Linked DNA regions of Danio rerio. The protein of the gene in region 4 purifies or fractionates together with the protein of the main gene of each other region. This does not show direct contact. Links are inferred from orthologs where the notes say so. Each region holds a gene or a part of one and is shown on either strand. Other genes may lie near its edges.

Region 1 (3,500 bases), on a different chromosome or scaffold from region 4:
AAAAACACGATTGTCTGTTTGTGTGATCACTCAGATGGTGAATTAAAAGTTTTGAAAACAGTTTTTTTGCACTTTAATATAGCTTTGCATGTTTAATTATTCGTCCCTTGATTCACAGTGATGAGCTTGCCTATTGTTTTCACTTTATCGTGTCCGTGTGTGTGCAGGGACACAGCAGCGTCTGCCGGCAGTACTGCGCGATGTGACAGGATGCTGAACCATCACTGCAGAAGGAACCCAGAGCTGCAGGAGGAGCTGCAGATCCAGGCAGCGGTGGCGGCGGGCGATGTTTACACCGTCCGCAAGATGCTGGAGCAGGGCTACTCGCCCAAGATCAGAGACGCCAACGGCTGGACGCTGCTGCACTTCTCTGCAGCAAAGGGCAAGGAGCGCTGCGTGCGCGTCTTCCTCGAGCATGGAGGTAAATTATTTTATTAAAGCATTCAGTGTGACTTTTAAAACTATGTTAATTCAAACATTCATCATCATAAGGTCTTCCTAGGGTCACTCAGGCATTTTGTTATTGTCCCTATTCGTACTTTTTCGTACTTTTCAGTTAACGGTTAATCGGTTATTTTGATCATCCTTAACAACAGTCAATAAAGACCACAAAGATATATAAAATATATAAACAATAAAAAAAAAACATTTTTGAAAATCTACACATAATGTTTAATAATCATTTTCATTAACACCCGCCAACCCGCCAAATTTCAGCTGTGGTAGATTAGACAGACACTCCGACTAGCCACTTGTTGGAAATAATTTTTGAATTGTAGTTGTCTTAAAAGCAGGGTTCTACAATAAAGATGGCCCAGTATGCGTGCAAATGTGATCCTAAAATCGAGAAGCAGCATGACTGACAAAAGTAATTGTGTTCGCGTGAGCAAAAGAAAGCAGATGAATAGCGAATGAGAGGATGATAACTCTTACGTGCACAGGTGAGGTAATGCGCTTGGCTGTTTAAAAAGCGTGCGTGCTCCCGTTTCCTTTCCTGAAAATGCAATTGGTGCAATTCATCGGTTCTCTTTGAAATAGACTTGACAAAAGGTGATGCTCGTGCACCCACAGTACTCCTTCTTTCAAGAGCTCCTAATTTGTAAAAAGATGTGTTTTTGTAAGCAGCAGGGGTCACTTCCACCATTCACTTTCACCATTCTTTGAATAGATTATTAACAGGCCTAACGTAGCGCGACCATCCTTTAATTATCACACGCGCTATGTTTTCCACCTGCTTTCTTTTGCTTATGCCGAGTTCAGACTGCATGATTTTCAAAGTAGTCGTGTCACAGATGTTTTCACACTGCATGACTATCTGGGCTTGCGTTTCGTCGCTGCTTTGTTTACACTGCAAGATGGATCGGCGACAGGGGCTTTCACATTGCATGACTTTACTATAGGGAGAATCGCCGACAACTTCGTCCAAACTACGTCTCACAGCCAAAAACACGTAGTATATCTTTTGTTATTAAGTACATAATGAGAAAGAAGCCTTTAATGGGGTTGAACATGTACATGTTTGCTCATCTGGGTTTAAAGGGAATTAGCCATTTCCCCTCAACTTAAGTTGATATTAAGCGAATTTCTTTCTCTATGAAATGTCAAACAGACACGGTTGCTCCTGAGTCCTGTCAAACCTCCACTAGTTTTTCCTCCATTTCATGGGTACAAATAAACCGAAAAAGAGCGCTTTTAACTTCTCCCCCAGCCTCCCGCTGGCCTGCAGCAGGTATACACACACGCACACACAAGTGAAAGCTGCTCTCTCGTTGGCTGTAGGCGATCGCTGATGTTATTTTCAGTCAAAACTCAATTCACACGGCATGATTTGAATTGCCGACAGCTCCAGATATTTAGCATGACAAATATCTCACAGGCATCGGCGACTCATCGGTGATTCTCTCAGATCGCGTCTTTGAAAGTTCATACTGTGTGATTGTCACTCACGTGCACGAGCAGCGATTTGCCCGTGATTTCAGGCATTTGTCGACGATTTCTCAAAACCTATCGGCGAGCCAAAATCAGGGCTAAAATCACGCAGTCTGAACTAGGCATTAGTTGTTTTTGTTAATGTATGGTTTAGCTATATTTTGTACAATAAGATTGCTTTAATAGGAGATTGACTTCCCGTTTAGTTAACTGGTGATCTGAGACCTTTGACCAGGACACAGACTATGCATTGTTTCAGATACATGACAATATCATTTTTAAAAAGAAAAGTTTTGTTTAATAAAAAAGTGTATGTATAGAGCTATATTTTGCTTGTTTTGACACATTATTTAAAATGTATGGCTAAGAAATAATAATTTATTGTTGGTGTGGTCAGAGATAAATTAAATAATTAATGGTAAATCCTTAATTTTGAACCCTGAAAAGTCATGTGAAATAAAAACTAATTGCTATGAAACCACAACCCATATGCTCATGCACATTGAGCAAGGTCATGCACAACACACAAAGTGAAATGCATGCGGACATGACCCAAAATCAAGTCATTTTAGCATGTTAAAGTCAAATTTATGCATATAAAATATGTTTTCCTAACAATAAAATTGTGGCTAGTGAAAATGGAGAGTGGCTAGTGATGTTCACACACATTCACACGGGGCACAGCTTCAACTCTTCCCAATTGCTTTTAATGGGTGACGTCAGGCGTTGCCGAACTGCATTGTGGATCCGTCAGCGCTGCTTCAGAGGCGTTGCTCACTGCAGAAGTTGAGACTTGTTTAACTTTTCAAGCGCCGACGGAAAGCCAATCAGATTGCTGTATGCAAATACACCAGCTCAGACAGTGGCCTATTGCTGACTAATTTCATTGACTGATGCGGCTACGACGATCGCATCAGCCCCAACTTTCGACACGCCCTCTGTCAAGCGTTGACGATGTAGCCCTGTGTGACGGGCGTTAACGTCAAGCCCTGTATATATTTATATTAATGTTTTGTATTTTTTATGTGAAGGGGATGGTGGTGTGAATGTTTTCTTCTTATTTTATTTAATTTCTTTATGTGCAGTTTTTATTTTTCACTCTGCCTTTTCGTTTTAGTTTTGCTCGTTTAAGGTAAACTTAATGAATTTTAGAAATATTGCTTTGGCATCTAACTAAAATAAAACAAGTTCAATTTTTAAATACATTTTAGTGAACTCAATTACCCTTTGATTAGGCACTACTTAATTGTAGGTGGGAATCTTCTCATGTAATTGTGTAATTATGATTTTGAAATGATCAAGATCTTTTTCTCAGTAGAACAATTCTGATAATCCAGGTTATTATTGTGCCTGATGTGATTTATTATGTCATTAGCTTCCGCATCTCTTCTGGTCATCTATTATGCTTTAAAATACCGGACTGGTGTTCAACTGGTACTTTCATAGACAAACGCTGCCAACAGTTAATGTTTGTGCATTAAAGGTACACATATGTGCCTAAAAAATAAGAAAGCTACTGTTTAGCTACTACTATATCCTTTAAAGGTGTCAATGCAGACCATTTAGGTACA
Region 2 (3,500 bases), on a different chromosome or scaffold from region 4:
CTGATCATGCCAGCATTTCTCCATCACCCAGAAGGTTGAAACCAAACATTTCCACTGTATTTATGGGACTGTGTTTTAAATGGATAGATCACCCAAAAACAAAAATTGCCATCATTTACTCACACTTGACTTGTTCCAAAGCTGTTTTTTAACAGAAGATGTACATAAGAATGTTGGAAACACGTAACCATTGACTTCAATAGAAAAACAATTACAGTGCTCAACATATACGAGTACACCACTCACAAATCTCATTTAAATTCATATTTTCTATATGAAGCTTTACAATATTATATTTCTGCGGATACATTAGTTCAGTCAGTACTGAAGCCACATCTGGAGCTAATCTAACAAAATAACCAACAATAATTGTTTAAAAATTTGTACACCCAATCTTATATGTTAGGGGTAATTATTAAATTACATTTTCAAAAATCTTTCCTTTTCTAAATATGTTTGGTGACTATTTTAATATTATTTTAATAAATATATTGATTTAATAAATCCATTCTGTTTAAATGCAATAATATAAATAACCCCAATTTACTGAGAAATGTATAAAAATATTCATTTTCAAAATGGGGCGAACTCGTATTTGCAGAGCACTGTACTATGGAAGTCAATGGTTACAGGCTTCCATCATTCTTCAATACATCACATTTTAATACTGTTAATCAGAACGGAACTAAAAAAAAAAACTGATCATATTATGCAATACCCTGTAATGATTTATTTTCTTTCCTCTTAGATTTTTGTTTGTATATATTTATTATTATTAATCTTTTTACTATTGGAAAGAGTATGAGCAATTCCAGCATTATGGATGAGATATTTGCAGTAAGAACTCTAAACATAAATTCACATGGAAAGTATACGTTAACTGTATATTGAAACATCTGTATATATATTTTAAAACAACTAACCACCGAGTTGAGGGATCAGAAAAATATTAATCTGTAAACATTTTTAGATATTAAATGAGGAAAATAAACATGCGTTATAGATGCGACCAAAAAGTGCACATTTTACACCATACTTTGTAGTAGGGCTCTACTATTAGGGGGAAAATATCTAACTGCGATTTCTTTCACAGATATTGTGATTTTGTTTTAGTTAAGCTTCAGCTCAATCACACTTCTTATATGGCCACTTGTGGTGCTTTTTTTAGGTGCTGGTTGTTGTATTTCCTCTTGCTGGCAGAAATTCTGCGACAGCTCTTACAAATGACCAGTTTTTGCTTAGTGTCTTTGACTTTGAAACCAAGATATTCCCATATTACCGACATGCTGTTTTTCCTTGATATTGATTTGTCTATTAATGCTTTTGAAACATCAGATGCCATCATCCCACTCGTCTGCGCTTTCCAGTTTGTTTGTTTGTATTGTGGACATTACGCATGTTCTGTTGCACTATTCTGATTGGCCGAACGCAAGTGTGCTCACTCAATTGGCTAGTAAGACAGTCGTGCACAGATAGCAGTCATGCGTTTGCTCTGGGTGGGGGAAAGTAAATAATATATATATTCATATTGCAGCCTCTTGTAATTAGCTAATCGCAATGTTTCAAATCACGATTGTGATGAGATTAAATGCACAGCCCTACTTTGTAGCAATTCTGTAAATTAACCTGCCCAACCCAAACGAAAACAATGCTAACTAAAATTATAAAAGTTGGCTCTCCATATAACAAAAATTATTGATTTAATTTTATTTTACAATTTTATATTTATGAAGAAAAAGCTTCATTATGGATGTGACAAATGCGAAACACTTTATGACTTTCAAATATAATTGTTTGAAAACACATTTTTGAGTATTTTTACAGTACTCCATCAAAACCTAAAAGGTTTTGCTATTTTAGTGAAAACTTTTTTTTTTTTATGGCAAGGTTGACATTTGCATTCAATTGCTCGTATACTTTTTGGTTGTTTCTATCCATCAACCCCTTGCTCCCAGAAACACCCCCCTGGTTTCATAATGAGTTTACAGGCCTTCGACAATCCCATATACACATGTATAAATAATTTATCTAATCGGTTTTCCATTTTTTTCCTGTATATTCTAATTTTGGTAAGAATTTTGAGGTTTGTAAAGGTGTAAAAATGTGTCAAATTAATATTAAATTAATATCAACACCATAAAAAAACGCAAACTGGTTTGGAAGAGTAAAGGTTGTGAGTAGACAATGACCAAATTTTTATATCTGGATGAACTATCCCTTTAAAAATGTCAGGTAGAATCTGCATATTTGTTACTTTTTCGTAAACAGACATTGCTGTGTTTTACATCATAAATAATGTTAAATTTTTTTGTCATAATGAGCATGTTCAAGAGGAAACCTCACCTCTGTTGGGCCTCCAGAACTTCTCCATCCCATGCCTCATCAGGACGATGCGCGAGAGCTCTGTAAAGGACTCGATGACGTTGAAGTTGCAGAGAGGACTCACTTCAAAAAATGTCATGCCATTCTTTTCTGCGTATGCCCGTGCCTGTTCTGTGGGAACCTGTCGCTTGAACGCCAGGTGTAGCCGGTTACCCACTAGAATACGGGGCACTCCAGGTGCATGCTGGGGAAAGACAGAGAGACAAGAAAGTGTTTCAAACGGGGGATGGGGAAGACCAGAAAGGTAGAAAACACAGAGAGGAAGATACACGGTGCTGTCAGACTGAGTGAGTCTCAAACAGTGTCACAGCTGGCCTGTCTCATTTATTTATTCAATGAGGCCTGTCATATCTGTGCCTTTCTCTAGTCCACAGAGAAAAAGAGCACTCGCTCATGTTTAGAAGCTGTACTGAGCAGTGCATTTACATCAAACACGGACTGTGCAATATGACAATATATATATATATATATATATATATATATATATATATATATATATATATATATATATATATATATATATATATATATATATATATATATATCAAATGAACTAAAAAAAAGTTTATCATTTCGTATTTTGCTTTATTTTTCATTTTCTGGTGTAATATTTGTATAATTTATATGAGCGCTATAATACACACCATTACATGAATGTAGACACAATCATGAATAACATCACAAGAAAGTTGCAATCTTGAAATGCAGTGTTTACATTTTGCATTTTATTTGACGATACTGGTTTATTTTTGTTTGACCTGTAATTGTTAGTTTATGCATACGTTTGATTAATAATAACTTTATATTTCTATATTGTTTTTATAAAACATTCCTTATAGCTCTTAGTGTTCAATGTGAAAAATATGAGCACATATGAATGAGCAAACTTCTTAGTTTACACTTTTTAAATGTAAAAAAAAAAATCCTTTATATGTGGTAATAATTATTCTACTAATGCTAATCAACTATCAATTGACATAAATGGTACTGTATTGTGATACTGTATTATGTTATCTGATTACGAGAACAGTACATCAATCTAGTGTTTCAAATCTTACTCTTTCAATTTGGAGTAAAGTCTCGATCAATAGACAATTAGACATAACTGGAAAGAGTTT
Region 3 (2,986 bases), on a different chromosome or scaffold from region 4:
AGAAGATATTTTGAAGAAAGCTAAAAACCTGTAACCATCAACTTCCAAAAAACTAATTCTTTGGAAGTGGATGGTTACAAGTTTCCTACATTCTTAAAAATATCTTCTTTTATGTTTAACAGAAGAAAGAAAGTCCTAAAGGTTTGGAACAAGTGAATGGTGGGTAAACGATGACAGAACTGGCATTTTTGCGGTGATCTTATTAACCCTTATGTGCTGTTGAGGATGTTTTCATCCAATCTGGGTAGGGCTGGACGATATGGCAAAAATTTTATATCATGATATATTTCTTAATTTTGGTCGCTATCGATGTGGACAATTTTAAAAAGCAAGGAAAAAACTGCCAAGAATGCACACAATAGATGTCTGTACTTTATAAAAGTCTACAAACTGAATTGGCAAAGTCTATAATACCTCCAGGCTCTTACAACTTTTAAAAAAAATAAAATGTCATTCAGTGACAAATGGTACAATGTATAGGATCTTATATATATATATATATATATATATATATATATATATATATATATATATATATATATATATATATATATATATATATGTGTGTGTGTGTGTGTGTGTGTGTGTGTGTGTGTGTGTGTGTGTGTGTATATATATATATATATATATATATATATATATATATATATATATATATATATAAATTTATATCAAAATACCGGAAATAGGGTTAAAAATCATATCACCTTTATTTAAAAAAGAAAATCTATTGTGAGATATATTGTTATCAAATTATTGTCCAGCCCTAACTCTGGGTCTTAATTTGGCCACAGCCTTCTCTGTGTTTAATAAAATGGAATGATTTTTGGTATTTTGACATACTTTTGGAAAGTTCTTTTGCAAAAAACCCAGCAATACAATCTGGAAAAACTGACTACCCTTTCATTTTGTCCAGGGCTGTTTTTGCCCCATTGACTTGAATTATAATGACATCTTTTGATTGAAAAGATGGCATATAATCATGCGTTCTTCATTGTATTATTGTGTGTGTGTGCGTGTGTGTGCGTGCGTGTGCGTGCGTGTGCGTGCGTGTGTGCGCGTGTGCGTGTGTGCGCGTGTGCGTGTGTGTGCGTGCGTGTGTGTGCGTGCGCGTGTGTGTGCGCGTGTGTGTGCGCGTGTGTGTGCGCGTGTGTGTGTGTGTGCGTGTGTGTGTGTGTGCGTGTGCGTGCGTGTGTGTGTCTGTGTGTGTGTCTGTGTGTGTGTGTGTCTGTGTGTGTATGTGTGTGTATGTGTGTGTGTGTCTGTGTGTGTGTGAGAGAGAGAGACCTTTGCACGCTTACAGTACCTTGATATGTTTGAGAAAATCTAAATTAGCTGCTCAGCTCTCAGAACACTGTAAACAGTAAACAGTAAGTGTATTTATGCACACACACTATAATCTGCGGCTTTACTCCATAGAACTCCTTATAAAAGCCTGAAACGTGTCTAGCACAGACCTATCTAAAGAGTTACTGCTACCAACAGATTATTAACAGTAATCAGTGAAAACCAGCAGCAATCAAGAATGCATGATTATGTGCTGTCATGGCTTTGCAATCAAAACATTTTATTATAATGGAAGTCAATGGGGCAAAAACATCCCCGAACATAACGAAAGAGTAGTCAATTTAAACAATACACAGGGGTTAATGTACACTAATCCATCCCATGCAGGTGCAGATGTGAACGCGACCACACAAGACGGCGAGACCCCTATGTCTTCTCTGGCCTTCCTAGTGAAGGAGGCTCTAGAGAGCAGTGTGGAGGATGCCAAAGAAATCGGCCACTTCTGTACCCATGTGGCACATCTTCTGATCAGCCACGGCGCTGGTCCAAGCTGCTGCCTGAGCGCCACCGACGGGGAAGTGTGGGAGCATTCCCTCACCTACACCAGCTTGGAAAACTTCGACCTGCTTTTTCCCCTAACAGTTCTCCTTCTCCAACACAGTGCCTCCTTCGTCTGCTCTCACCACAGCGCCTCCTACTGGACAGGACCACAGCTGATATTCACCCGACTTGCTGAAGCTCTCCGTGAAGCTGTTGATGCTGCAGAAGTGGCGGATGTTTTAGCCAAAGCCGAAGTGCTTTTGGATTTAGCCAGGATCTGCTCTCCGGCCATCCCTCCTCTTTTTCCTCGCTCTCAACTGCCTGTGCTGGAGCAGGGCTCGATCCATGAGCCCCTGCTGGAGCTCTACGGCAAACTAGAGGAGCGAGAAAGCCAACCCATGCCGCTCAGGTGCCTTTGCAGGAGACTGATCCGCAACTGTCTTCTGCCCTGGCCGTTTGAGGAGAAGGTCAAAGCCCTGCCACTGCCAGACAGATTGAAAGACCTGCTGCTTCCTGAAAACAGCTGGAAGAATAGAGCCGGATGGGACCGATTTAAACCTCGAGGCTCCTCACACTGAGATACAAACCTGTGCGTGTGTGTTTGTAAATATTGAGCCTTTAATGAGCACTGAATCCATTAAATCTCAGATTAAAGCGACTATTAAAGCTTGTTTCCTATAATCAGTGATCTAAGGGAGAAACTAGTATTAAGGGGATAGTTCACTTTGCTTAAAAATGAAAATTATGCATCATTTAGTCCAGTGTTTCCCAACCCTGTTGCTGAAGGCACACCAACTGTCTTTTAACCTCTCCCTAATCAAAGATGAGCTGAATCAACTCATCAGAACACAAGAAGAGACTCCAAAACCTGAAGTTAATGGGTTAGAAAAAGCAGCCATTCAAAATGTGTACTGTTGGTGTTAGGCCTGTCACGATAAGGAATTTTTGTTGTGTTATAGATTATCACAGAAATTGTGGTGATAATCAATATTATTATCATTTTGAGAGCATTTTATGCCACTGAATATATAATGATTATATAACAGATGACAAGAGGCCATGGTCTTTAGCCTCCTTTTTAGAGCAACCAACTTCCATACAAAGAATCGCCTGCTTGATCCCAGCTCAGAGCGGGTTGGATTTGGTAGGATCAGTGGGT
Region 4 (4,213 bases):
AGGCCTATATTTTTCTGATAGTGCAACCTTGACGAGGTTGCATGCTGAAAGAATGATGATGATTTCAGTGTCAACGTAGGCCTATTCAGCATTGTGAATGTGCTTTACTGCAAAACATGCAATATAATGCAAAGCAGACATGGGTCACATGCTTAGCTTTTTATTTTATTATTCTATTTTAAATATCTGTTCATTCTAATGTCATTATTTTTTATGATTTTTTTTTCTTTTTAGATGATTTGGAAATAGACAAAAAGTAACTGAAAAAAGCTGCTTAATTAATTATTAGCCACTCTCAATTTAACACTTAAAAATACATTAATCGTTATTTATTATTCTTTTTTTAAGCTGGCCCAAACTTGATTTAAACTTTAAAAATAGTATATTGACAGAATTTGCGTTTATTGATTTACCCGAAATTAGCCATTCTGAATGCTGACTGAATTTTTTTAAATATATATATATATATATAGCCTAAATAAATCTTATATTTTTGCATATTTCTAAGTCCAAGCAAGAATATATTAGCTCAACTTATATACCCACATGAAAAAATATAGGCTATACATGTTTTTGACATATATGAAATAAAATGTGCTATTACTGTAAAATAATAATATGGTAATAGAAGAACTAATGATATATACCAATCATAATATATAAACTTAAATTTTTTTGTAAGATTAAAAGATTTAGAAAATACAATTTAATAAATATAAACAAATAGTACTACATTTTTACAACTCTGGCTATTATATTACAATATATCAACGTTTCTTTAGTAAAAATTATATTACATATGTTTACAGTAGATTATCAGTTAATACGGCTATGCTCAACTAACAGAGTTGTTTTGAATACTATAGTATAAATATTAATAGGCCTAAAATAGTAGCCTTTGGTTCAAAAGCACTATATTATTTATTATAAATCACTTTAGTATTTTTTTTTCATGTGGGTAAGTTTGTTTCTACAATATTTTTATTGTATTGGGAATCACAGCATATTGGCTAATTTATTCAACAGATAACAATTGTACAAAAGTTCTGAAGTTTTTCCAACATAGTTTGTATTTATATGATCAAAATGTGCAATTCTCCACGTTTTTTAAAAAATAAGTTGGATATAGTTTCAAGAAAAGAAGTTTATATGAGTTAAATATAGTTAAAGTTCAAATATAAGATACATTTTCAATCAAATACATACAGAAATTTCGAATGAGGGAATTATTAGCATGAAAAATTAAATAAATTGATTAAAAAAATGTTTATTAAAGTGTTTATTAAAAATGTTCTACATCGCAGTATTTTAAAACATCCAGCCAGGGGCCTGTTAACAGACAACTCCAGCTAGAGGCCGATCTGCGTGTCTGCAGACCAGCCTATCTCAGCCATTTTGTTTCTACGCCTCTTCGCCATGGCGGAGATGGACGACGGTGATGAGCCAGGTTTAGGACATTCTCACAGCGGTTCTTCTGGGTCCAAATCAGGGGGAGACAAAATGTTTTCCCTGAAGAAGTGGAACGCGGTGGCCATGTGGAGCTGGGATGTGGAGTGTGACACCTGCGCTATTTGTCGCGTTCAAGTTATGGGTGAGTGTTTTTTAGCTAACCGGCTAGCCGATAGCATTTCTAATCATTCTCAGATAAACAGACCAAGAATGGAGGCTGATGAATTTGATAATATCTGCCTGACACACGACCGAGTCGTTTTCAGCAATATAACACACTGCTGTCTACCGAGACAGAATTTGTTGAAACCTAAAGTGATGACATAAATGTTTACTCGAACATTGGAAAGTGCATATAATGCATGACATACTGTTTAAATGCGACGAGCAAATGCATTAATGCTTCAAAACAGACGAGAATAGAAACATAGAATGGACATTATATGTAAATATTAAACTTACATTCAAATCCATATGACGTCTAAGATATGTTCAATAATGTATAAATTATGCAAATATACATGTGAAGGGGAAAAACATTAGTTTATGATTAGTTTAACAGTTTACAGCAAAATGGAGATTAGGTAGGCAGTTCACATTATTTGGTCAAGTCAGTGTAAATATTCAGACTATAATAAATGTGCACAGTCAGACTGTGATTTCATATGATCTCAGCAAGTCTGTCCTGTTTAAAAGCAACTGTGAAGTTAAAACTGTATAAATCTTATTATGAACAATTAAGACTTTGTAATATCTAGACTAACCAAAATGTCAAAATTTGACCCTATAGGAAAAATGACTTTCCTCTGCTGGCATTCTTTTTTTTCTCTCTTGACATTTAGTTCGCTAAAACCCACTCCTGCAAAATGGCATTTGTCAGCCTTTAAGTGATTGGGTTAAAGTTGGTTTTATATTTGCACATTTGGATTTTATCCATAATTTCAGGAAAGCGTTCTTTGCCAATTTTAAATAGTTAAGCACAGCAGCCAGTCAATTAAATAGTACTAATGTATCATTTTTTATAATATTATATATCATTTGTAATTTCAGACTGAGCAATCAAAGTAGCATAATAAACAATATAGAGATCAGGTCAGAAGAGGTCACTCTCAAAAATGAACTAATGTGCAAATATAAAACCATGTTTGGTGTACGTTTGGGCAGACCTTTTAAATTCCAGTCCAGTAGTATCTGGATGCAGACTTCATGTCTCAGCTTTGCAATATCAGACACAATGCACTCAATGGAGCTAGTGACGTCACTGTTGCAGCTCAGCTTGCAACTGCACCAAGTCTGCAGTCAGACCACTGTCATATATTGGGCAAATGCTTCACTAGCTGCCTTTAAACTGTGCGAATGAACAGACGTCACAATAAAACAGACATCACAATACCAAAGAAAGAAAACTCTCCGTTGGTATTTTCTTTTTAATTTACAACTGTATCTGAGTTTTGGTTTACTTCTAGCACAATATATAAATCCCAGCAGGTGTTTTTGAATATGTCTGATTTACTCCATTTCAGATGCCTGCTTGAGGTGTCAGGCCGAAAACAAACAAGAAGACTGCGTTGGTAAGTTAAAGCCCATGTGAAATCAAAATGTACCATGTTTATTGTGCTCGCACACATAGTTAATCTTTAGGTGAACGATTAATCAGTGCATGTTAATCCACTGGGGACATTTTTTTTGGTAATTCTGACCATTTGCTTTCATGCTTGGAGTGCCAGCCTTTATCTGTTGACATCAGCTCAACTGCTTCACTCATAAACAATAATATTAGCCATGCCCCTCTTACAATTACTTTGCTATGGGGAAATAATGTGCAAAAAGAAAGCCCCAACCCCTACTTAATATTTTGTTTCAGTTGGAAGTACATCATCATACTAGTGATGGTAAAATGAAGCTTTCTGAACAAGTGAAGTGCTCGACTCAATTGTATTGGAAAAAGGTTCGTTATAGAGGTCTGCATTCCCGCGGGCGCCACAGGACCCGACCAGATTTCTGCGGCGCGGGAATAAATTTCCAAATAAGTCGCGGGAGCGGTCGGTAACAGGTTTAATTTAGGACGGGAGCGGGCTGTCTAGCAATATCGCGGATATTGCTATGTGAATGAGAGAGAGAGAGAGAGAGCTTTGCCTGTGTGTGTGCTTGGTGCTTGTGTGTGTGTGTATGTTAGTGCGCGCGCGAATGAGAGAGAGAGAGAGAGAGCTTTCCCAGATAGCAAAATACACTCAGGCCAGTTCCGGCTAGATTCTCGCCTGCCAGAGACTTACCACTCAGCCCGGCTCTGGCTGCCGGACTCCGGATGCTTGTGGACTCACTGCCCGATTCCGGCCCGAATCAATCGGGCCAGATGCGGCAGCCTTAAGCAAACCGACGCTGCCGCATCCCTGCCGGAATCGGACCGATAGTAATGTGCGCTGCGGCCCGGAGCTGGCGCGACTCAGTATTTATATATCTTTATATAAAACCTTTTGGTATTACATTGGTACTTGATACATGGTATTACAAGCCTTTGAGTTGATATAACAGCAAACGCCTGTGTGTCTGCTTGGTGCTTGTGTGTGTGTTAGTGCGCACGCGCGCGTATGAGAGAGAGAGAGATTTGTCTGTGTGTGTGTGCTTGGTGCTGTGTGTGTTTATACAGACAGCTTGGCTGTCTGGACTGTATAGCTGGGGGATTTTCAGTTTTGTTCTCCCCCGCTCTTTAGCGGGATCGGGTGTGGCGGGCAGAAAACGGGGCGGGTCGGGCAGGGGGACAATA
Region 5 (4,000 bases), on a different chromosome or scaffold from region 4:
TTGGCCTGCAAGTTCCCCAAGCTGTCCAACAAAAAAATCTGCTAGGTATGCGTGTTATTCTTTATATATCTCTAAACTGCTGACAGTAGACAAAGGACCTTTTTGTGGATAAAGCATGTAAAATTTTGATAATGCGAGTGCACCTTTAGGCTGTTTCAAACGGCAACTTATCACAATCTTGAAAACATAGTTAACGTCAAATAGTTAACGGCAGTTCATGCTGACATTAAAAACACTGCACTACTCTGTTCAAGAGCAATTCCAGTGTTATTGATGTGACATTTGTAGTAAAAATTCAAAACATACATTCACAGAGAAAGCATAATGTTAATGTTATATTTTGATATATGTTTATATTTCCCAAAACAATTAACCACAAAGCTATGCGATCAGAAAAATATCAGTCTGTAAACATTTTTATATTTTAAATGTGGAAAATAAACATGCGTTATGGATGCGACCAAAAAAGTTAGCGAGTTTACAGTCTACAACATACTTTGTAGAAATTCTGTGAATAAAACTGCACAAACCAAAAGTGAAGCTAATCAAAAGGATAAGAGTTGGCTCTCTATAGAACAAAAATGACTGATTTCATTTTACTTTACATGTTTGCATTTATGAGGAAAAAGCTTTGTTATAGATGTGACACCTCTGTTATGGATGTGACGAATGTGAAATTGTGTCATTTATTCATTCATTTTCTTGTCAGCTTAGTCCCTTTATTAATCCGGGGTCGCCACAGCGGAATGAACCTCCAACTTATCCAGCAAGTTTTTATGCAGTGGATGCCCTTCCAGCCACAACCCATCTCTGGGAAACATCCACACACACATTCACACACACTATGGACAATTTAGCCTACCCAATTCACCTGTACCGCATGTGGGGGAAACCGGAGCATCCAAAGGATCCCATGCGAACACACGGAGAACATGCAAACTCCACACAGAAACGTCAACTGAGCCGAGGCTCGAACCAGCGACCCAGCGATCTTCTTGCTGTGAGGCGACAGCACTACCTACTGCGCCACTGCTTAGCTCCTGGCACTTGTGCGACTTTGGTTAATTAAATATAAATGTTACAAAACATTTACAGACATTTTGAGCATTTGAGCACACAAAAAAATGTAGAAATTGTTTCACTATTTTGGTGAAAACTTTTTTTTCTCAAGGTATTTTGATTTTTCTTATAACCTGTTGCGCCTTTTCTAAAAGTGTCTGGCATGCATGTCTCAGCTGCTTGGATAAATGAGTCCACAACTGTGCAAGCCACCCAGCCTCTGACCCTAAATGAACATGTTGGCCGTCAATTTACTCACTAGTGTAATCTAAGCTGTTAAAAAGAGATTCACCATGTTCATCAGACTCTGGACTTTGCCCAAATGCTGTGACGATGAAAATGTCACATGTAGTGTGTTGTGTTTCTTGCATGACAAAATAAAACAATTTAGATTCGAGCAGACCTGCGATAGCATTCTGGAGAAGATATGAAACTCATTAAGAACCCCGTCTCACACACTTGGTTAATAAGTGATATGCAAGTCATTATGTATAGTCTTAATAAAATCATTATGCAATGTAAAGGTTCTATGGATGTTAAAAGTTCTACTTTTTATGCCAATAAAGATCTTTATTTATTTTTTTAAAGTGTAAACATATCCTGTAATTTATTAGTTATGTGATAACTTTAAGTGGCTTGAGTCGCATAAAAATGTTGTTTGTCTTTTGCGCAAGACACATGAAAAATATGTTGTTTAGTTGTGAAAGCCCAAAGGGGGGTTCACTGCAGTTGATTTTGTCCCCTGGGAAGAGTTACTTTTTCCAAAACAGTAACTAATAACTACGACTACAACTGAGCTGTGAATAAGAGCTTGACAAATACAATAGATGAGCACTGTAAGCTTAAAATAATTGTCATACTTATTATGATACTAATCAATTATAGAAAATGTAGAATAGATTGTTTTCAGCTGCCAGTTGTCGTTGTTGTCTTAGTTTTCAATTGACAACATTTCTAGTGACAAAATAAGATACGTGTAACTGTTTTTTTACAACATACACGAGATGCATTAATGTTACATAATATACAAGTCATGATTATAGATTCAGCTCAAATGCACTGACTGTACACTTCATGTTCAACACCCAATCTTCAAATATACAAAAAGAATATCTGGTAGAGGGTTTGATGAATATTAATTAAACAATACAGTGTCTTACCCATGTTGTATCCATAGGGTGACTCACTGGACCCATCCTGAAGACTGGCCAGTATTTCCCCTTTCCCCACATCACTGTCTCCAACCAGTAGGAATTTCAGAAGAAAATCATAAGCTTTTGCTGGGCTGCTTCTGTGGTTCATCTTCACATCAGCCCGATGACCCATACTGGTACATCATGTAATTGTCGGACTTGACGGACTTGTGTTATATTTCAGTCCACCAAATGTAACTGAACGATTTAGCTGTTTTAAAAAAACAAACCTACGTGTTGATCACTTGTCTCTCTGTGTGAAAAATCTCATGTCCAGAACATGGCTAAAGCTGTCCTTTTGTTCAAAGATTCGGACTGTGGATCCACTGATACTGTTGCGTCACATCAGAAGGTAAATAAAGAGCCTCATATGTTAACAATATCGTAGCATAAGGCGATTAGCTACTTATAATTGGTTATTTACACTTAAAGTAATGGTAATTATAATACAGAACACCTAATGTTTATCTCATCTTTACAGTTTGAGCAAACCTGGTCCATTGAGCTCTCAGCCACGATCCCTCTCGTCTATCAGCCTCCCTAAACAGAAAAATGTTGAGTTCATCCTTGGATTTTCCTTGATTGGTTCCTGTGAGGAGTTGCTAGGGCAGCTCTGCTCTTTCATTAGACGTAACTTATGTCAATCAAAAAACACATGAACGCCCACTTTGTATTGGAGAGGGTGTGGCTAATCTCCTGTTTTGAGCCCATATGCGCTGTTCCCAGATCAGCCCTGGTAGGACCCCACCTACTTAGGTTTGGTCGCAGTAAACAGCGGCTCAGCTGATTCTGGGTCAGCTCTTTTAGCGAATTTCAAGCGCGTGCTCGGGTTTGTTGTTTTCCGGGGCACGAAGAATGACGTAGTGTTAAAATGACGTAATATTACCATTGTAGTTTCTAGCTTTTCCTTCTAAAATATTTTTGTAAATTTACTTCGTCTATATATTCGTGTTTGTGTGTGAAAAAATATTAGTATTTTATATTATTATTGATAGTATTATTATTATTATATGAATCTCTCTCTCATTATATATATATATATATATATATATATATATATATATATATATATATATATATATATATATATATATATATGTGTGTGTGTGTGTATGTATTTATGTATGTATGCATGCATGTATGTACGTGTATGTAATTATATATATATATATATATATATATATATATATATATATATATATATATATATATTCACACATATACATAGATACATACAGTTGAAGTCAGAATTATTAGCCCCCTTTTGATTTTTATTTTCTTTTTTAAATATTTCTCAAATTATTTTTAACAGAGCAATGACATTTTCAAAGTATGTCTGATAATAGTTTTTCTTCTGGAGAAAGTCTTATTTGTTTTGTTTCAGCTAGAATAAAAGCAGTTATTAATAAAAAATTTTTTGCCATTTTTGGGGCAAAATTATTAGCCCCTTTAAGCTAATTTGTTTTCCGATAATCTACAGAACAAACCATCGTTATACAATAACTTGACTAATTACCCTAACCTGCCTAGTTCACCTTATTAACCTAGTTAAGCCTTTTAATGTCACTTTAAGCTGTATAGCAGTGTCTTGAAAAATATCTAGTCAAATATTATTTACTTATTTATTTATTTAAATATTATTTACTGTCATCATGGAAACGATAAAATAAATCAGTTATTAGAAATAAGTTTTTAAAACTATTATGCTTAGAAATGTGCTGAAACAATCTTCCCAGAACAGAACAGAA
Region 6 (4,281 bases), on a different chromosome or scaffold from region 4:
TAAACTCCACGCCTTACACTATCGAGCGTGTATACACTCTGACTACTTCTATATTGTTGATTAGCTGCTGGCTATTCGCTCTGTCTCTGGCTGAAAGCAGTTAGTGTCAACCATTCGCAACAGACTGTCATCGGTCCAATCAGCGCAGATTAGCTTCGCGCTAAGGAGGGGTTTGGGAACAATTGAATCACTGGACGATTCATACGGGAGTCGCTGGGATAATTAGGTAAAAATAAATGCAGATAATAAGACCATGAAAGTGTTTTTTGACCTTGCATGCATATTAGACTGTTGTTGGAGACCCTTACAACCAAAATATGACCCTATTTCATGAATAATATGGGCTCTTTAAAGCCTATCACTGTGTGAACATTCAGGCACTAGAAATTGTACCATTTGTAACTTTAATTAATGATATAGTTTTTTTTTAAATTATTTATGAAACTGTACAGTGCTCATTTACATTTAATTATTCGATTTCTGTAGCTAAATACTGTTAGAGTCCCAACAAAAATCATATAGCGCTGTTTATTTTACTTTTAATTTAGCTCTATTGTATTTATCCAAGCGTTTAATGTGTTTATTATATTTCATGAATGATTCTCTCTCCTACAAAACCATCACAATCAGTCCAAATCAATTAAATTGTATTCATATCGCAATTATATATCACAGATGAATAAAATATCGCAATATCATATTTTTTCAATATCGTGCAGCCCTAGGGTTTACATGTCTGCTTACTGCAATTTAAATAACCGCACATCACATACTTTAAAATAATTATAGTTTCTATAATTATGAGCTTAATCCTTCCACTTGATTAAAGTGTTGTGTTTGAATTAAGTTCATTTATGATATTCTGTCACCATTTACTCATTCTCAACTTTTTCCAAACAATATTGAGCTTTATATTACAAAATGTTGGATTTAAATCAAAATATGGATATGTTGGAAACCTGTAACCACAGACTTTCATAGCATGCTTTTCCTAACTTGTTACAGGTTTCCAACATACTTCAAAATATCTTCTTTTGTGTTCAACAAAACAACTCAAGTTGGTTTGAAACAAGTAAATAGTAAATGTTAGTAAATGAAAACAGAATTTGAATTCTCCGTGTAAGCTAAAGTGTCAGTATAAGACAAGAAGCTGAAAATAGAAAAGTACAACTAAAAAGAAAATAGAAGAATCAGACTAGAACTAATCATTTACATTCATTAAAAGACAAACATTTATTAGGGTATCCCTACTAAGTATTCGTTCTAATTAAGAATTTTGGTGGCAAACAGAAAGCATTGATAAGTTAAGCCACAAGGCCTATATTAATGGAGATTAATTCAGTCTTTATAAAATGGTGCTCACTGTTCATTTTTAGAAAAATCTGTATCCCTTTTATTGCATTTATATTGCCAATGAAATCAAGAACAGAATGGAATCCAAGTAGCGTCTGTAAATCATTGATGCAAAGCACTAGTGAAGCATATCAAAAACACACAAGAGATATGTCAACTATTACTTGTTAACTTCTGCTAGCATATAATCACAAATAATTAAATGGTACAAACTTTAAGTGATCAAATATATATATATATATATATATATATATATATATATATATATATATATATATATATTTTTTTTTTTTTTTTTTTTAATGAATTTCAAAATAAGATCTAGCTTTTAGACAAGCACTGGTAAAATTCAATGAAATAGTTGTTATTATAAATTGATCTTGTAATATGCCAAGTGATTCTTTTCCAAAATATGCTTGACAAAACATTTGTCCTATAAACTACTGTCACGTTTTACTGTGTTTTCTGTAAACGTATGTACTCTCACCAATACAAAAATTCATAAGAGCTCAGAATAAATTAGACAAACTCTGAAAAAGACACAAACCGCAACAAATAATTTTTCTCAACACCCTAACATAATGTGATAGTACATTATGAGTGACAGTTGCACAAAACTACATTACTATTTTAACCCCTTACATTTATATAAAACCTACTGATGTGTGTTGACACATACCCAAACATTAGCATGACTCATAAACCAACCACTTTGAAAACTCCTGACTGAGGTTATAATTTCAAAGGAAAACTTACCTCACACTGGCACATGAGGTTTAGGAAACTTAATGAAAACCAATTAAAATGTCTATGTCTCAAAAACTGCCAACCCAGTAGACAACATTTTGGGCCAAAAGTGCTGTCTAGGGTAGGCATCTGAGACAGCAGAATTCATGTGAATGTGTGTAAAGGACTCTTCGTTTTGCCTCAGCATTTGTTTACAGCTTTAGGTCTCCATAATATACTTCTTAACACATTAAACGCACTAAGTATTTAATTCATGAACATTTATATGGCGATATTGTTTTGTAAACAGCATCAATAGATTAGCAATGCTAGGTAGCAAGCTCGTTAGCTTCAGGTACCCTTCCTTGTAAACTGCCGCTAAGAGGAACTATTAATACCATAATGTCAACCAAACGTACGTCATTTAAATATAACCTGAAAATCAAGACAAACATTTGTTATTAACCCACTACTGTTATTCTCCGAGGCTTTTGAGATATAATGATGTAAAATGGCTACCTATTCTTAACTGGTGTGTAATATCACAAAAATGTCTCTCTTCCTTATCGACACATTGCCAGACACGTCCATTTAGTTTTCATTTATGTCAAACCGGGACGCCTGACACGTGTTTAAAGATTTTTAGTCTTACCTGTGTGTGTTTGTAACGTCGAGCAGTGTGAGGTCGAGGCCCTGCGCTCAGTCTGTGTGTGTTTGACTGGAGATGACTGGGAATTCCGTATTAGAGCGAGTGAAACGTCATACGCCACAGCGCAGAGACACACAGCGACGCCTACTGTCCACTCACCGTAGTACACCAGCTGCGTAGGAGCTTCACTCTTTCAGGTGCCAGGAACCACTTTGACCATTCCTGCTGCGAATGACTCAAAAAATGTGTGTAAAACCCACCAGTGGTGGAAAGAGTACTGAAAAATCATACTCATGTGAAAGTACCATTACTTGCCTAAAAATGTAGTTGAAAGTAGAGTAAAAGTATCTGTTGTAAATATTACTCAGTCAGTGAGTGGTGGAAAGAGAACTGAAAAATCATACTCAAGTAAAAGTACCATTACTTGCTTAAAATGTAGTGGAAGTAGAGTAAAAGTATCTGTTGTAAATATTACTCAAAGTATGAGTAAACCTTCCAAAAAAAAGTAGACCTTCCAAAAGTACTCGAGAGTAGTGACTAGTGAGTATTACGCTGTAAAAAGCTGATTTGTTTACATGTAATTTGTGCATGTGTGTGTAAACGTAACATTCTGTAGTGCATTTAGTTATTGCCCAGCAGGCACACGACATCATAAGACGTTAATACTAGGTTAGATTTAGGTTGTGATGTCAGGTGACCAAAATTCAATAGCCAGGGTCTAGGGATGTTATTTTGATGTCCAATAATGACGTCAAATGACGGTGATATTTGGTTGATTTTAGGTTGTGTTGGAAAGTGACCAAAATCCAACGTCCAGCCAACATCTAAAACCAATGTCATTGACGTCAAGTACTGACACTTATTCGTCAGGTATGGAAACCAAAATCCAACGTCTGATAGACGTAGTGGTAACATCCACACAACAACAAGCTGTAACATCATTAGACGTTGATATTTGGTATAGGTTGGACATTGACGTTAGGGTACAATGTCAATCTGACATGATGTTGATGTCTTGCGTCTTTGATTAAGGCCATTTTGGTCATCATACAGTAAACATCCTTAATTTTTTTTTCAAAGACATGCATCTAAACAGCCTCTGGGTCAATGCATGTAAAAATTTAGACATCTTGGACATGTTTAATGCTTCCAAACTGTTTGCTGAAATTATAAATCGCCCTTGTCTTGAGGTAGTTCATTGTGATGCGATTTAACTTCTTTGTGTGATTTGATTGGACACGAATCACAAGACAGTTTTTCTAATCTCCATAAACAACAGAAAAGTAGTGGAGTAAAAGTAAAAATACAGCACTAAAAATGTACTCAAGCTTGTAAAAATACACATTTTTAAATCTACTAAGTAAATTACAATTCCTGAGAAAAACTACTCAATTACAGTAATCTGAGTATTTGTAATTAGTTCCTTTACACCACTGCTCAAAGTATGAGTAAAAAGTCGGCCTTTCAAAAATACTTGAGTAGTGAGTGTTACACTGTGAAAAGCTGATGCATTTACATGTAATTTGTGAATGTGTGCAAACGTAACATTCTGT

What was found.
Region 1: the proteins of rnf7 (region 4) and asb7 purify together in Homo sapiens (co-immunoprecipitation; 4 studies listed by BioGRID and IntAct, with this or other methods). This does not show direct contact. The link is inferred for Danio rerio from reciprocal best matches to the Homo sapiens genes RNF7 and ASB7.
Region 2: the proteins of rnf7 (region 4) and rab40c purify together in Homo sapiens (co-immunoprecipitation; 4 studies listed by BioGRID and IntAct, with this or other methods). This does not show direct contact. The link is inferred for Danio rerio from reciprocal best matches to the Homo sapiens genes RNF7 and RAB40C.
Region 3: the proteins of rnf7 (region 4) and asb6 purify together in Homo sapiens (co-immunoprecipitation; 4 studies listed by BioGRID and IntAct, counting the BioPlex papers as one, with this or other methods). This does not show direct contact. The link is inferred for Danio rerio from reciprocal best matches to the Homo sapiens genes RNF7 and ASB6.
Region 5: the proteins of rnf7 (region 4) and rab40b purify together in Homo sapiens (affinity purification with mass spectrometry; 3 studies listed by BioGRID and IntAct, with this or other methods). This does not show direct contact. The link is inferred for Danio rerio from reciprocal best matches to the Homo sapiens genes RNF7 and RAB40B.
Region 6: the proteins of rnf7 (region 4) and cul1b purify together in Homo sapiens (affinity purification with western blotting; 5 studies listed by BioGRID). This does not show direct contact. The link is inferred for Danio rerio from reciprocal best matches to the Homo sapiens genes RNF7 and CUL1.

The regions. Positions count from the first base shown.
Region 1 is NC_133182.1:9,750,212-9,753,711, reverse strand, and holds part of asb7 (ankyrin repeat and SOCS box protein 7), read left to right. Parts: intron 1-167; 5' UTR 168-210; coding exon 211-421; intron 422-3,500. UniProt on the Homo sapiens protein: Probable substrate-recognition component of a SCF-like ECS (Elongin-Cullin-SOCS-box protein) E3 ubiquitin-protein ligase complex which mediates the ubiquitination and subsequent proteasomal degradation of target proteins.
Region 2 is NC_133178.1:25,496,171-25,499,670, forward strand, and holds part of rab40c (ras-related protein Rab-40C), read right to left. Parts: intron 2,567-3,500; coding exon 2,344-2,566; intron 1-2,343. UniProt on the Homo sapiens protein: RAB40C small GTPase acts as substrate-recognition component of the ECS(RAB40C) E3 ubiquitin ligase complex which mediates the ubiquitination and subsequent proteasomal degradation of target proteins.
Region 3 is NC_133183.1:8,437,516-8,440,501, reverse strand, and holds the end of asb6 (ankyrin repeat and SOCS box protein 6), read left to right. Parts: intron 1-1,674; coding exon 1,675-2,405; 3' UTR 2,406-2,486; downstream 2,487-2,986. UniProt on the Homo sapiens protein: Probable substrate-recognition component of a SCF-like ECS (Elongin-Cullin-SOCS-box protein) E3 ubiquitin-protein ligase complex which mediates the ubiquitination and subsequent proteasomal degradation of target proteins.
Region 4 is NC_133193.1:44,703,754-44,707,966, reverse strand, and holds the start of rnf7 (RING-box protein 2), read left to right. Parts: upstream 1-1,413; 5' UTR 1,414-1,416; coding exon 1,417-1,591; intron 1,592-2,972; coding exon 2,973-3,020; intron 3,021-4,213. UniProt on the Homo sapiens protein: Catalytic component of multiple cullin-5-RING E3 ubiquitin-protein ligase complexes (ECS complexes), which mediate the ubiquitination and subsequent proteasomal degradation of target proteins.
Region 5 is NC_133187.1:33,958,702-33,962,701, forward strand, and holds the start of rab40b (ras-related protein Rab-40B), read right to left. Parts: upstream 2,801-4,000; 5' UTR 2,745-2,800; exon of another isoform or gene 2,464-2,744; 5' UTR 2,386-2,463; coding exon 2,220-2,385; intron 1-2,219. UniProt on the Homo sapiens protein: RAB40B small GTPase acts as substrate-recognition components of the ECS(RAB40B) E3 ubiquitin ligase complex which mediates the ubiquitination of target proteins.
Region 6 is NC_133199.1:21,267,554-21,271,834, forward strand, and holds the start of cul1b (cullin-1b), read right to left. Parts: upstream 2,801-4,281; 5' UTR 2,732-2,800; intron 1-2,731. UniProt on the Homo sapiens protein: Core component of multiple cullin-RING-based SCF (SKP1-CUL1-F-box protein) E3 ubiquitin-protein ligase complexes, which mediate the ubiquitination of proteins involved in cell cycle progression, signal transduction and transcription.